3 linked regions of the Arabidopsis thaliana genome follow. The protein of the gene in region 3 interacts with the protein of the main gene of each other region in a pairwise test. Each region holds a gene or a part of one and is shown on either strand. Other genes may lie near its edges.

Region 1 (4,486 bases), on a different chromosome or scaffold from region 3:
TTATTGATTGAAATTCTCACTTAGAAAACATTTGACATTTGATCTATAGTGACACAAGAGAGTATTTGATGTTGTGGGTTTTTCGAGTTTTTGATATCATTATGAGAGAAGCTTCATCTACATATAAAGTCTCGATCTTTCACTCACAATGTAGATTAAGCTTCTCTCATTATGGTTTGAAATGCAGTTGGAGCTAACAAACAAGAAAAATGTAATGTCTTTCTAATTCTGGTGTTGTTTTTACTAAAGGATTACGGCGATGGCATTGGTATGGAAGTATGGAGAAAGAAAGGGTTATGAGTCTTGGAAAGGTCTCTCATGGGGAATGGTGAGAAAGCTCTAAGCCGTTTTCCTAGATTACATGATTTCATTTTTCTGAGCTTTTTGGTTGTTCTTAATCAGGTACCTTTGCTTGGTGGAGCTCTCTGTGCATGCACATGGCATTTCTTCTACAACGATGAATCTCTTGAGGTCAAGAAACTCTTGACTCCAACTTTTAGCTATAAGTCTGTGATATGTTTCGTTTGCTTCTTCACTCCTACTTAATGGTGTAATTGTTGGACTGCATTATCAGGTGTTGGTCGCTCTTCAGGCAGCACTAACGGTGTTTGGTAATATCACTCTCTGCATTGCTGCCTTTCGGATCAACAAGTTGTCATCCAAAATTGAAGTCTCTGAAAAGCCATGATGGCTAAACCGATCAATATGAGCAAAGTATAATTGAATTATTAATTGGAGGATCACTAAGATTCTTTTCCCCTTTGAAAAGTTCTATGAGATTCTATGTCAACGATTTAAGTATATTATATAGTCTTTATATGAGGAAGATCCATGTGCATTCAACCTATATCAGTAACCCAAGTTACACAGATTTAGTCTTATCCAGAATCTAGAGTTTGAATTAAATTATAAATTTTGGTTACGTGATCATAAGAACTTCTCCATTTTTGTATAAATGAGATCAAGAAAACAGAAGAAAGAAAGTGCCAAAACTGATAACGTTTTTCCCAGTGTGGCAAGTTTGGCTAAAATTATAAATAAAAGTAGACATCAAAATGCAGATATTGAGATTATCTTAACTCAAAATGCAGATATTGAACGTTTAACATTATCTGAACTAATTATCTTGTTTTGTTATATCATCTTAAATCGAGACCATATATAGTAAAACATGCCAACAAACTCAATCTAGTTAGTTGAAGAAAATCATTGTGTATAACTTACATCTGTCACACACAAAATTGAATCTTTACGTGGGACAGTACGACAATTTTTTTTTTTTTTAAATCCGAATCTCTTGAAGTTAAAAACTATAAGCAAAAATGTGGGGTGGTTGAGCTATTTCTGGTTAGGATCTTAATAAGAAGAAAAAAAATGAACGTAAGTACATAAGTTTAAAATAATAAAATTTTCGAATTATTAAAATAAGATACCAAGTTCCACTTAAATCTTGACAACGCGTTAATCGTGTTTAGACCAAGCCAGGGCGTGATGAAGAAGGCATATCTTATCTTTATCTTCCCCAAAAGTCCACCAATAATACCATCTTAATCATTACTTAAACAACCCCAAAGGCCATTTATACATTTAAATTTGTTAATTTTACCTATTAGTTTGTACTCCTATTATGGGAAAAAAAAACCTACATCATTTTTTTTTGGATCAAACTGGATAAAAAATGTCAATTAATAAAAAAATGGAAAGTCAGAATTCAAAAATAAAGGAAATATACACGTCAGCTACGAAAGTACAGTTCTGACTTCATAACTTTGGAAATTTTACAAAACAGTGCCATTATTATTCCGTTTAGCTGCTCGATGATAAATTATAACCGTCAGATTAGGTCAGCCAAAAGAATCGCACGGTTAAGATTACGAAAGTGTACAATAAGGAGGTGTAGAAGAACACAACTTAAAAAAAGTGAAAACCGTAGCGTGACTCATACCATATAAATATATACACATGTATGTTCCTCCATAGTTACGTGTTTCTGTTTTTCTCTAATTTTTCTCTTGTTGTTCTCGATTAACGAAAAAGACTTGTCGTTCTCAATTCTTATCGATTTAAGAACAAATCATCTAACGAAGATTACTTCCGAAGATCAGAAACAAACACAAACTGTGAATCGTTGTTTGTTAATTCTCTTTAAAATCGCCAGAAGAAAGAGATCTCCGTTTTCTACAGGTAAAAATTCCCAATCTCCTTTGTCTTGTGTATTTTTGATTGATTGATTGATTTAGTTGATTCTGTGTCTTGTCCGATCTGAATTAGATTCTTGTGTTATCTTAGTATTTGTGTTTCGGAAACTCAGATCTACTTTTTTAATTGCATAATTTGATGACGAAATTGTTGTTATCGTAGCTAAAACAAAATCGATCTGTGTCAATAATATAGTTGTACTTTTGTTATGGATCTAATCCTCAAAAACCCGACAACCTTAAAAGATCCTCTGACATTGAGGAATCTTTGGTCTGACTAATCTCATCTATTGTCTTCTTGTCGTGTATATTGTCAATAATCGCAGTGGTAAAATTTTAATTTGAATTTATGTGGTGTAACAGAAGAAAAGCAAGAGAGTAAGAATGGGATCGGAACAAAACGATAGCACAAGCTTCACGCAATCGCAAGCTTCAGAGCCAAAGCTATGTGTTAAAGGATGTGGTTTCTTTGGATCACCATCAAACATGGATCTCTGTTCTAAATGTTACAGAGGCATTTGTGCTGAGGAAGCTCAAACAGCAGTTGCTAAAGCTGCTGTTGAAAAATCTTTCAAGCCTTCTCCTCCTCGTAGTCTCTTCATAGCAGAACCTCCTGCTGTTGTTGTGGAACCCAAACCCGAAAAGGCGGCAGTTGTTGTTGTCTCGGCCGAGCCATCTTCCTCGGCGGTTCCTGAGGCGAACGAGCCATCGAGACCTGCACGAACCAACCGGTGTTTGTGTTGTAACAAGAAGGTTGGGATCATGGGGTTTAAGTGCAAATGCGGGAGCACTTTCTGCGGCGAACATCGGTACCCGGAGACTCATGATTGCAGCTTTGATTTCAAAGAAGTTGGACGTGGAGAGATTGCCAAAGCTAATCCTGTGGTTAAGGCTGATAAAATTCAAAGGTTCTGAAATATGGAAGTTTTTTCTAAGTATTTTGGTGGTAATTACTCATTTGTATTTGAACCGATTTGGGGGTTGTCTTGGATGGTTTTAATGGATTGTTTCCAAAGGGATAGAGGATGATGAATTTGGTTCCGTAATAAAGTGAATCGATGAAGTTTGTTCTTAAACTAAATTGCCAATGAGTTTGACTCATCTCACTTTTACAAAAAAAATTTGGTCATGTTTACAATTTCAATATAGACATCATAAACAAAATAAGTAATCTTACCAATAGACCTTTGACGAAAGAAGGGATAGTGTTAAGTGTTAACCATGGCAAGGCAACCATCGACCCACTATTCAGTTCGCTTTCCCCCTAAGTGTCTTTCCCATTTTAAACTCTCAGTAACAAATCCGCGTAATATACACGCAAAACCTACCACTGGGAGTTTAAAATGAGAGAGATACTCATCGTCCTCCCTATTTTGAAGATGGGAGCATTGTGAAATTTTATAACACTTCAAAATTATACAGACATTCATAACAATAAAGATATACATGAACCAACGATAACACTCGGCCTTTTATCTTCGAAAAAAAGTCATGTTTCCTAAGTGAGCTAACTAATTTATGTCTTGGTATAACATACCAATGTTACATGAATATATAAATTTGAACTTGGCATATATATTAGAGTTTTATCTTATTTGATCAACATGATAGCATATTGGGCCCCATATCGGCCTAAATATATAAATATATTTTTGGGCCTGGAATTTGGTCTGTACATGTAAAGCCCACATGTAAGATTGAGGATATATAAAACTCGATTCTATTAAATAATACTATACAGTATTTGCTAGATGCTGAAGTAGTATACAAATTACAAAGGATAATATATTAACTTTATACATTTATAAAAATGTTGGCAACACCTTGAAAATTCATGAATTTAATTCAAAAGTCAAAACAATTAACATTGATGGAATGATGTTTGTCTCTCTTGAAACTCTGTGAGATCCTAACAAATGAATTCGAGGTAATCACTCTATTGATTATCATTGATCGATTAAATGATTTGAATCTCATCTTTTTTGGATTAACCTTATTGAACTCTGATGCCATACAAAAAAAAAAGTTATTAGTTTTCATTCAAAACATAAATCGATAATGAATGAGTGATCATGTCTTTTATATACTATTGGTGATTTTTACATTTTCCAAATGAGATTGTATAAGTCGCGCGTAGTCACGAAAAGAACATGGTACTCACGAGCAAGCTCACGTGTAAGGCAGCAGTTGAACAAGTGTATTGTCTCCTTATCCACATATCCATACGAATTTGAACATTTATGAAGACATACACACACAAGACTTGCGTATGTAAAGAAAACATGCAC
Region 2 (3,266 bases), on a different chromosome or scaffold from region 3:
GATGATGCTCAAATCGAGGATGCTATACCGATTGAGGAATGGGAAACATGGTTGAATGATATTGATGATGCTAAGGAGAAGAGTATCATGTTTATGCATGATAATCGAAGTGATTACAGACCTCCAAACTCATTAACTGGTGTCTTCAGTGATGATGTTAGCAGTGATGATAATGATTCTGATTTGCTAACTCCAAAAACAGTAAGCAAATTTCTACTTTTGTACCTTTATAATCCTCTGTTTTCGTATTTCACCTTACAAAGCTCAAGTTTTTGTTTCATTCATTTGACAGAACTCTATTCAAACTTCGAGCACTTGTGATAGTTTTGGTAGCTCAAATCATCGCATAGACCAGATCAAAGACCTGCAAGAATCTCCTACCTCAACAATCAACTTAGTGTCACTAACTCAAGAGGTGAGCTTTCTTATCTCTCTATCTTTCACTGAGGCAAACAATCCTTAATGCTACTTTGTGCCATCACTACTAACAACACAAACAATCAATGATGCTACTTTGTGCCAACACTCATTACAACGACTTTGTTTCTTTGTTATGATTCAAGGTGAGCCAAGCTCTAATAACCAGTATTGATACCGCCGAGAAGAAGAAGAATCCTTATGATGATGCACAAGGGACTGAGATTGGTGAGCATAAATTGGGTCAAGAGACGATCAAGAAGAAAAGAGCTGGTTTCTTTCACAGGATGATACAAAAATTCGTCAAGAAAATTCACCTATGTTCTTCCATCTCAAGAACTTGATAACAATAAAAGTGATCAATAACACCTTTTCTACTTTCCAAATTATTTACAACAGTACAAGTGTATGCTATGATGTCTATCTTGGTTTGTAACTTTACCATACTGTATGTGTGATATGTATAAAACTGGTAAATTTGTGAAGACAAATTTGTATCCATTGACATAATAATGTCTATCTTGTTTTGTTACTTTCTCATCTTGTATGTATGCTCCATTGTGAAGACAAAGTTGTATAATTTCTGCTCATACAGCTAACCAAATGCTCAAATTTTATTTGACGTACCCTATCAAGTATCAATCAACCTCGAAGTACTATTCTAGTCCTACCTAACCCCATAAACAAATTCCATTCAACGAAAGAAAACAAGAATAAATTTCAAATTAAGATGCTTCATTTCAGTAATGTCAAGAGTCTTTTTTTGGACTTTCAAGTCTACATCATATATGTACACGTGCATGTTGTCATGTTGATGGCTAAATCCAAAACCCATTAGACTATTGTTTATTTGTTTACATTATCCTATATCATGTAATTTTAGTAATCTTTCTTTTTCTTCTACATCACTTTCATTCTGTTTCTTGTTAATTCCTCTGTTTCGGCGTTCAAAGACTTTGCTTTCGTTTATTATACATCAAATTACGTACCTTATTCGTTATATCTTCTTCAGAATTAAGGAATTTTTTTATGTTGCCCAAAAAAAAAGAATTTTGTTTTTCTAAATTACCTACATATAAAAATTGTAAACCCTATTTTGCATTTTTCATCGCTCTCTATTGTTTTTAACTTTATGGGTTTATTCGATAAGAATGAAATATCCGGCGGATTTCAGATTCCGGCCGACAGATGACGTTATCATCGAATATTACCTCCTGCTAAAACATCTCGGCATCAAGGAAGGCAATATCATCATTTCATTACCACCGTTAAAATCTCTAGTTACGATCCTTGGCATGTGCCATGAAAGTTTTGGTCAATTAATGCTAGATCATGATTTTCTGATTCAATCATTGATTATAGGCTGATTTCTGATTTAGGTTTTTTTTTTTAATAATTATTATAGCCAAATCAAAGAGCGAGTGGGCTGATACTATGGTATGGTTCTTCTTTAGTTGTGATGAATATAACGAAGAAATATTGAAAACGAATTCGGGTTATTGGAAAGAAACTGTATCCAACACACCAATCATTGGCAAGTGGATAACTAGTAATGGTGTTAAAATTGGTGAGAAACAAGTTTTGGTTTTCCAATCGTATGAAAACATCAATGGATCCAAATCCGATTGGGTAATGCACGTGTATCAACCAACGTTTTTGCCTCCTAATCAGGTAATATTCCGAATTTATGATGTTTAATCACCGTGTCCTTTTTTCTCAACGATGTTATGAGAGAATCTGCCGATTAGCCCTAAAACAATCAAATTTTAGGTTATTTGGTACATATATATATATATATATATATATATATATATATATTATCTTACTTAATTAACACGATCATATATTATATCCTATTTGGTTTAGGTTGTCGAGAAATAGTTAAACAAATCGTACGTGCATGTTATTTGTAAAAATTACCATCCATCTTAGTTAAACTATTGCCTAAAGCTGAGAGTGTTGTGTTTCAAACATCAGGACCACCTCTTCAAATCACAATCTGATATATCTCTACACAATGGTTACTAAGATACATGTCGTATATTTTCTTTATAAATTTGTTAAAAATAAAACTTGAAACAAAGATCAGCCTGAGTAGGTTCAATTTTTGTCTACGTGTGGTATATGATCTTATACGTAGAGTGAGTTTGAACGTTTTAGTGAGATATCTTATGGGCTTTGACGACAGAGAGCATATATTGTCTGCAAAGTAGAGTTCAAAAGTGAAGATAAGGAAGGATATTAGTCGTTGTGGTAAATCTGGTATAATTGAGCTTAATCACTCTTCAACCTCTCGTATTGACCATAACGGAACTTGGCTACTAAGGTCGGTTGAACATTGATTAGTTGTGTCATTGGATATGAATCTTTTGAATATAAAAAGATATGCGCCTACCACTTCTATTTATATTTAAAATATTCATGAAAGGTCGTGAAATATAGTACAACAAAGCAATACTATAATAGAAGAAATTTGTAAAAAGATTTTAAAGATTCCAAATAGCTTTTTTGGTTTTGGATTTTTCTCGAGGTAGTTGAAACTGTGCCATTCGTTGAAAAGTAAATGCGGCGCGTTAAATTTGATGCATCCACGTGACCCAATGAAATCTACATGCCTAGATTTGGTCGTTACTGGCGTTTGGAAACATAACTTGGGCCACCACTACTACTTCACATTCCCTACTCCCAACTCTTGCGAAACAGAGAATCACAACTATAATAATATTTTCTGAAAATAATAAATAATTATTCGTTATATTTGGCAAATAAAATGTTTTCTTTAGAGTTAACTCACGTTGGACTTTTCTGTGGTGTATCGTCCGTCCGCGTGGCCATTTTCTCCGAGAAGG
Region 3 (4,696 bases):
AACTTTGCAAGTTGTTTATTACACACGATTATAAGAGGTATGAGCTTTGAGTAAATTCGATTTAGAAACTCGGAAGGTTGGAGAAATCTATCATAAACTTATAATTCACTACTCAAACATTCCAATTAAAATGCTAGAATTAACTACAATATATGCACGGTTTCAAACGAATGTTATATAGTAAGACTTTTGTCATACGCACGCACATAAGAATAAGACAAGTAGTCATATGAATAGAGAATAGTATGTAGTATATGTGATACTAATTGTTGTTAACGATAGGTTCTAAGTTCCGACAATGAGGTCCCAAGTTGTCTCCTCCTTATCCAAATTCTCAAGTATATTCCAATGTAAATTTCTAGAAACGACAAAACATAAAGGTAATAATCCATCACCAAAACATTATATTTGCATAATTTGGGTCAAGTTCGGCAGCTATAACATCAAGCTCCACGAAGCTTCCTATTTCAATTCACACCGCGACTAAATTAACAAACAACTGCAAAAAAACTATAAAGTCGATTTCTCTCTTTATCATAAAAATTCAGATCAAGTCCAGATCCAATTGATCTGAATTTTATAATAGGAACAAATCATGCGTTACGATGTCTTTTATATATTTTCTTGTTTTCTTTTTTTGGTTTAATATTAGTGGTCATATCTTTTATTCTAGACTTGACTGTTATCATCTAAAACGACAGAAAAAAATGAAGTCGTCAGTGCACGAAAATTATTTAGCTAAAAGCCTAAAAGATGTGTATGAAATGATACGACTTATATAACTTGCATTCTTATATCGATAAAGAATCCTTATTGACAACAACAAAAAGTCATGTTTGACCACAAATATTTCGTATTATAATTAATTTGGCTACTAAGGGACTTTTAATAGTAAAAGGAAAAGACCATGATCTTATAAAACATTACGTTGAATCGATCATAATTAGTTTATAATATGATAGAAAACGTAAGTGATGATGATCATAAAACGGGGAACAAGCCCACGTCATGCTTGCATACACACCTACCTCAACTTTACATTTAAAGATTTTAAAATAGAAGAGGATTCATGGGCATTATTTGCTAGTGAATCAAACTTATGAATTATAAATTAAGTCTGTAATGAAAGCGGCTCAATGGGTACTTAATTAAGGATTAAGCTAGTGGTTAAATAGTTGTCCTTAACACATATTTTTATGTAACGGGGAAACTCAAACTAAAGCGCAAACGCTTTCTTTGCGAACTCCAATGTTTTTATTTATGTGAATGTAGTATTATTAGTCGAGAGTATTTATAATTAGTGACTATGATTGGCGATTGCAACTTTAAATGACGTCATCCATCATGACGCAAAGCTTCGCCTGAAGAAGGAAATTAATCAGCTGCGGAGATGCTCACCGTAGTTTCATCAAACTGTCCAATCACCAGTCAAAACTACAACTTCCGCCCCAAGAAATGCTGACTTATCTTCAGCAAGGTTACAATAATGTGTCAATTTCAATATCATAAAAAAGTAGTGGCTGCTGAGATTTTTCTTTTTAAATCTTAGTGGTAAATCTTAGTGGTAAGTAAAGGAACAAAAGCGATAAGCTACACTGAGAAGCAGGAGATTACGGTTTGACATATAAAGGCATTTCCATCTACGAGAAATCCACAAAATTTCTCAAACAAAAAAAATATTAATATTATATTATAATTTAATTATTTAATTAAAAAAGTATTTTTGTTAAAAAATTGAACCAATAGTAAGATGAGAATTGTCATGATGGGTTGTAAAGTATCTCAAAGTTTCTCAAGTAAGAAACTTTCTACACTCTCTTTCCCAATGGAGATGGTCTAAAGTCGGTCAACAATTCACAAAAGGTTTAAGTGACGCAAGCAATGACAACATCTAAGTCGACTATCCAATAATATTACGCCACGTATATATCCAGCTGGCTGCGGTCAGCGTAGAAAAGAAAACGGTCTGTTTTGCCGCACGTGCTTGAAAATCCCCTCGTGTCATCTCTTTTCTGTTTTTTGTGTTTTTTCAATTTAAATTAATTAAAACATTTCGGCGATTTTCGTCCTTATAAAACCTTCGTCGCCTCACTCACATATCCTCGATTACAATCTTGAGCAGACGAAGAAAACCCAAAAAAAATCCAGATCCAGCTGAAATTGAATTTTCAACCAACGAAGAAGAGATTTTTCCAAGAGCAACAGACAAGAAGAAGAGAATGAAGTCGGAGCTAAATTTACCAGCTGGGTTCCGATTCCATCCAACGGACGAGGAGCTTGTGAAATTCTACTTGTGCCGGAAATGTGCTTCCGAGCAGATCTCGGCTCCGGTTATCGCCGAGATTGATCTCTACAAGTTCAATCCTTGGGAGCTTCCAGGTACACCTATGGGCTTCTTCTAATTATTTTTCGCGAAATCATGTGTCTTCGAGAATCGTTGTTTATTGAGATGTTTGTTCTTCTTTCAGAGATGTCTCTGTACGGAGAGAAAGAGTGGTACTTCTTCTCACCTAGAGATCGGAAATACCCAAACGGTTCGCGTCCTAACCGGGCAGCAGGAACCGGTTATTGGAAAGCTACCGGAGCAGATAAACCGATTGGTAAACCGAAGACGTTGGGTATCAAGAAAGCACTCGTCTTCTACGCAGGGAAAGCTCCAAAAGGGATTAAGACCAATTGGATAATGCATGAGTATCGTCTCGCTAATGTTGATAGATCAGCTTCTGTTAACAAAAAGAACAACCTACGAGTAAGTTCTGTTTCTTATTAACTTATGTATCATCTTTTCGTGAATGATGATTTAGATTATTAACTTTGTTGTGGTGGGTTTTGCTGTACAGCTTGATGATTGGGTTTTATGTCGAATATACAACAAGAAAGGAACCATGGAGAAGTATTTCCCCGCGGATGAGAAGCCGAGGACCACGACAATGGCTGAACAGTCATCATCACCTTTTGATACATCAGACTCGACTTACCCGACATTGCAAGAGGATGATTCCAGCAGCTCAGGTGGTCACGGTCACGTGGTGTCACCGGATGTTTTGGAGGTTCAGAGCGAGCCTAAATGGGGAGAGCTTGAGGATGCTTTGGAAGCTTTTGATACTTCAATGTTTGGTAGTTCCATGGAGTTGTTGCAGCCTGACGCTTTTGTCCCTCAGTTCTTGTATCAGTCTGATTATTTCACTTCCTTCCAGGATCCGCCTGAGCAGAAACCATTCTTGAATTGGAGTTTTGCTCCACAGGGGTAAAAACGGAAGAGACCAAAAAAGGTGTTTGCTAGTAGTACTGTGATGTGCCAGAGAGAAGAGTCTCATCTCAACTCATCCCTGGCTCTTAGTAGTAAAAGAAGATTGTAGAATGTTAATAGCTTTTAGCATCAATGTCTCATTAGCAGGCACATTCTTGTTCTTTCATGAGAAGTTTATATGAAAACTAAAAATTTATATTCAAATTCTTCAAGATGTTGCACTTATGTAGATACTGATATTAAATAACAACCTAACCTTTATGAGATATCATGCTCTCCGGAAGCATTTTTTGATGAGTATCATCAGCTGAATCGAGGCGATTTCCTCACAGCTGTTATTCCTATGTCTCTGAGACTTTTGATTCTCGTTTTCTTGACCTGAGGTTTCTTTTTGGAAGACTTCTCTCTTTCCTTCTGTTCAAGCTGTGTGGAGGGTTTTTCAGATCCATTATTCCCACGAGGAGTCTTCATTTTGGGATCCTCTTTGCATAATCCTTTGCTTATACCTTCGAGTTCACATCCTGGAGATACAGAATATGGAACCACGGTTTCATCACATGAATCGATGATCTCAGAGAGCTGGCTTTGTAACTTTTGGGCAGCCTTCCACAGTTCTCTGCAGCTTTCCTGTGGATAAAGAAAAGGAGACAACAAAAAAACATTCAGAACCTGTTTTTCATCAGCTCAAAAACATATCAGTGACATGACGTAACAGGGATTTTTGTCCTCACCATTGATAAAGGCAAACGAGAAACATCATCAATTTCTGAAACAGCTTTGTTCTGCTGGTCTTTCTCTTTGCACTGTTTTAGCATTTTCCTATTTTTCCAACCCCAAAGAGAAACATGAAAATCATTAAGCTAATTCAAAGATGAATAGAAAAACAGGCAACAAAAGGGATCAGAGCTTACTCTAGAGCAATGATATTGCTGCATGCTTCGGTTTGGCACTCCCAAAGTTTTTTATATGCTTCACTCGTGACTTCCACATTTTCTTTCGTTGTGTTAGATGTTCTGCGCAGTTTTGCTTTTCTCACTATTGAGCTTGTTTCCATTGCTTCTTTACCCGACTCTTCCATCAACACATCATTCTGCTTATATAGAACAGCCACTTCATATAATTCACCTCCTCTACTGTTTGCTTCAATCCTAGCTTCATTCTCACTATTTTCTACATCTACTACTTCAACAACTCCCTCTTTCCTAGGAATTTGAACAGTCGAATCCCTTAAACCTGCTTTGAATCCATTATCTTCTGTGTCCATTACTTCAATGACGTTAATGACACAACATGCTTTACGTTTGGAGCCGGTTCGGGATTTAGTCAAACTCTGTTCTTCCAACAAAACAACCTTAGGATCCCCAGACTTCAAAATTTCAACACTTTCTTCCTTGTTTTGGCAAGTCATAACCTCATCCGCCGCACGCTGATCATTTGTTCTCACTG

What was found. The genes of interacting proteins can lie anywhere in the genome.
Region 1: the proteins of ATAF2 (region 3) and AT4G22820 interact in a two-hybrid assay, tested with the Arabidopsis thaliana proteins (one large-scale study listed by BioGRID).
Region 2: the proteins of ATAF2 (region 3) and AT1G02210 interact in a two-hybrid assay, tested with the Arabidopsis thaliana proteins (one large-scale study listed by BioGRID).

The regions. Positions count from the first base shown.
Region 1 is NC_003075.7:11,986,498-11,990,983, reverse strand, and holds AT4G22820 (A20/AN1-like zinc finger family protein), read left to right. Parts: upstream 1-1,896; 5' UTR 1,897-2,184; exon of another isoform or gene 2,185-2,561; 5' UTR 2,562-2,582; coding exon 2,583-3,113; 3' UTR 3,114-3,335; downstream 3,336-4,486. Other genes in the region: AT4G22830 (YCF49-like protein), read left to right, coding at 250-328, 403-471, 575-688. UniProt on the Arabidopsis thaliana protein: May be involved in environmental stress response.
Region 2 is NC_003070.9:426,397-429,662, reverse strand, and holds AT1G02210 (NAC (No Apical Meristem) domain transcriptional regulator superfamily protein), read left to right. Parts: upstream 1-1,851; coding exon 1,852-2,115; downstream 2,116-3,266. Other genes in the region: NAC003 (NAC domain containing protein 3), read left to right, coding at 1-201, 293-415, 564-761.
Region 3 is NC_003076.8:2,857,668-2,862,363, reverse strand, and holds ATAF2 (NAC (No Apical Meristem) domain transcriptional regulator superfamily protein), read left to right. Parts: upstream 1-1,805; 5' UTR 1,806-2,219; coding exon 2,220-2,379; intron 2,380-2,468; coding exon 2,469-2,749; intron 2,750-2,840; coding exon 2,841-3,251; 3' UTR 3,252-3,515; downstream 3,516-4,696. Other genes in the region: AT5G08780 (winged-helix DNA-binding transcription factor family protein), read right to left, coding at 3,554-3,877, 3,982-4,069, 4,162-4,696.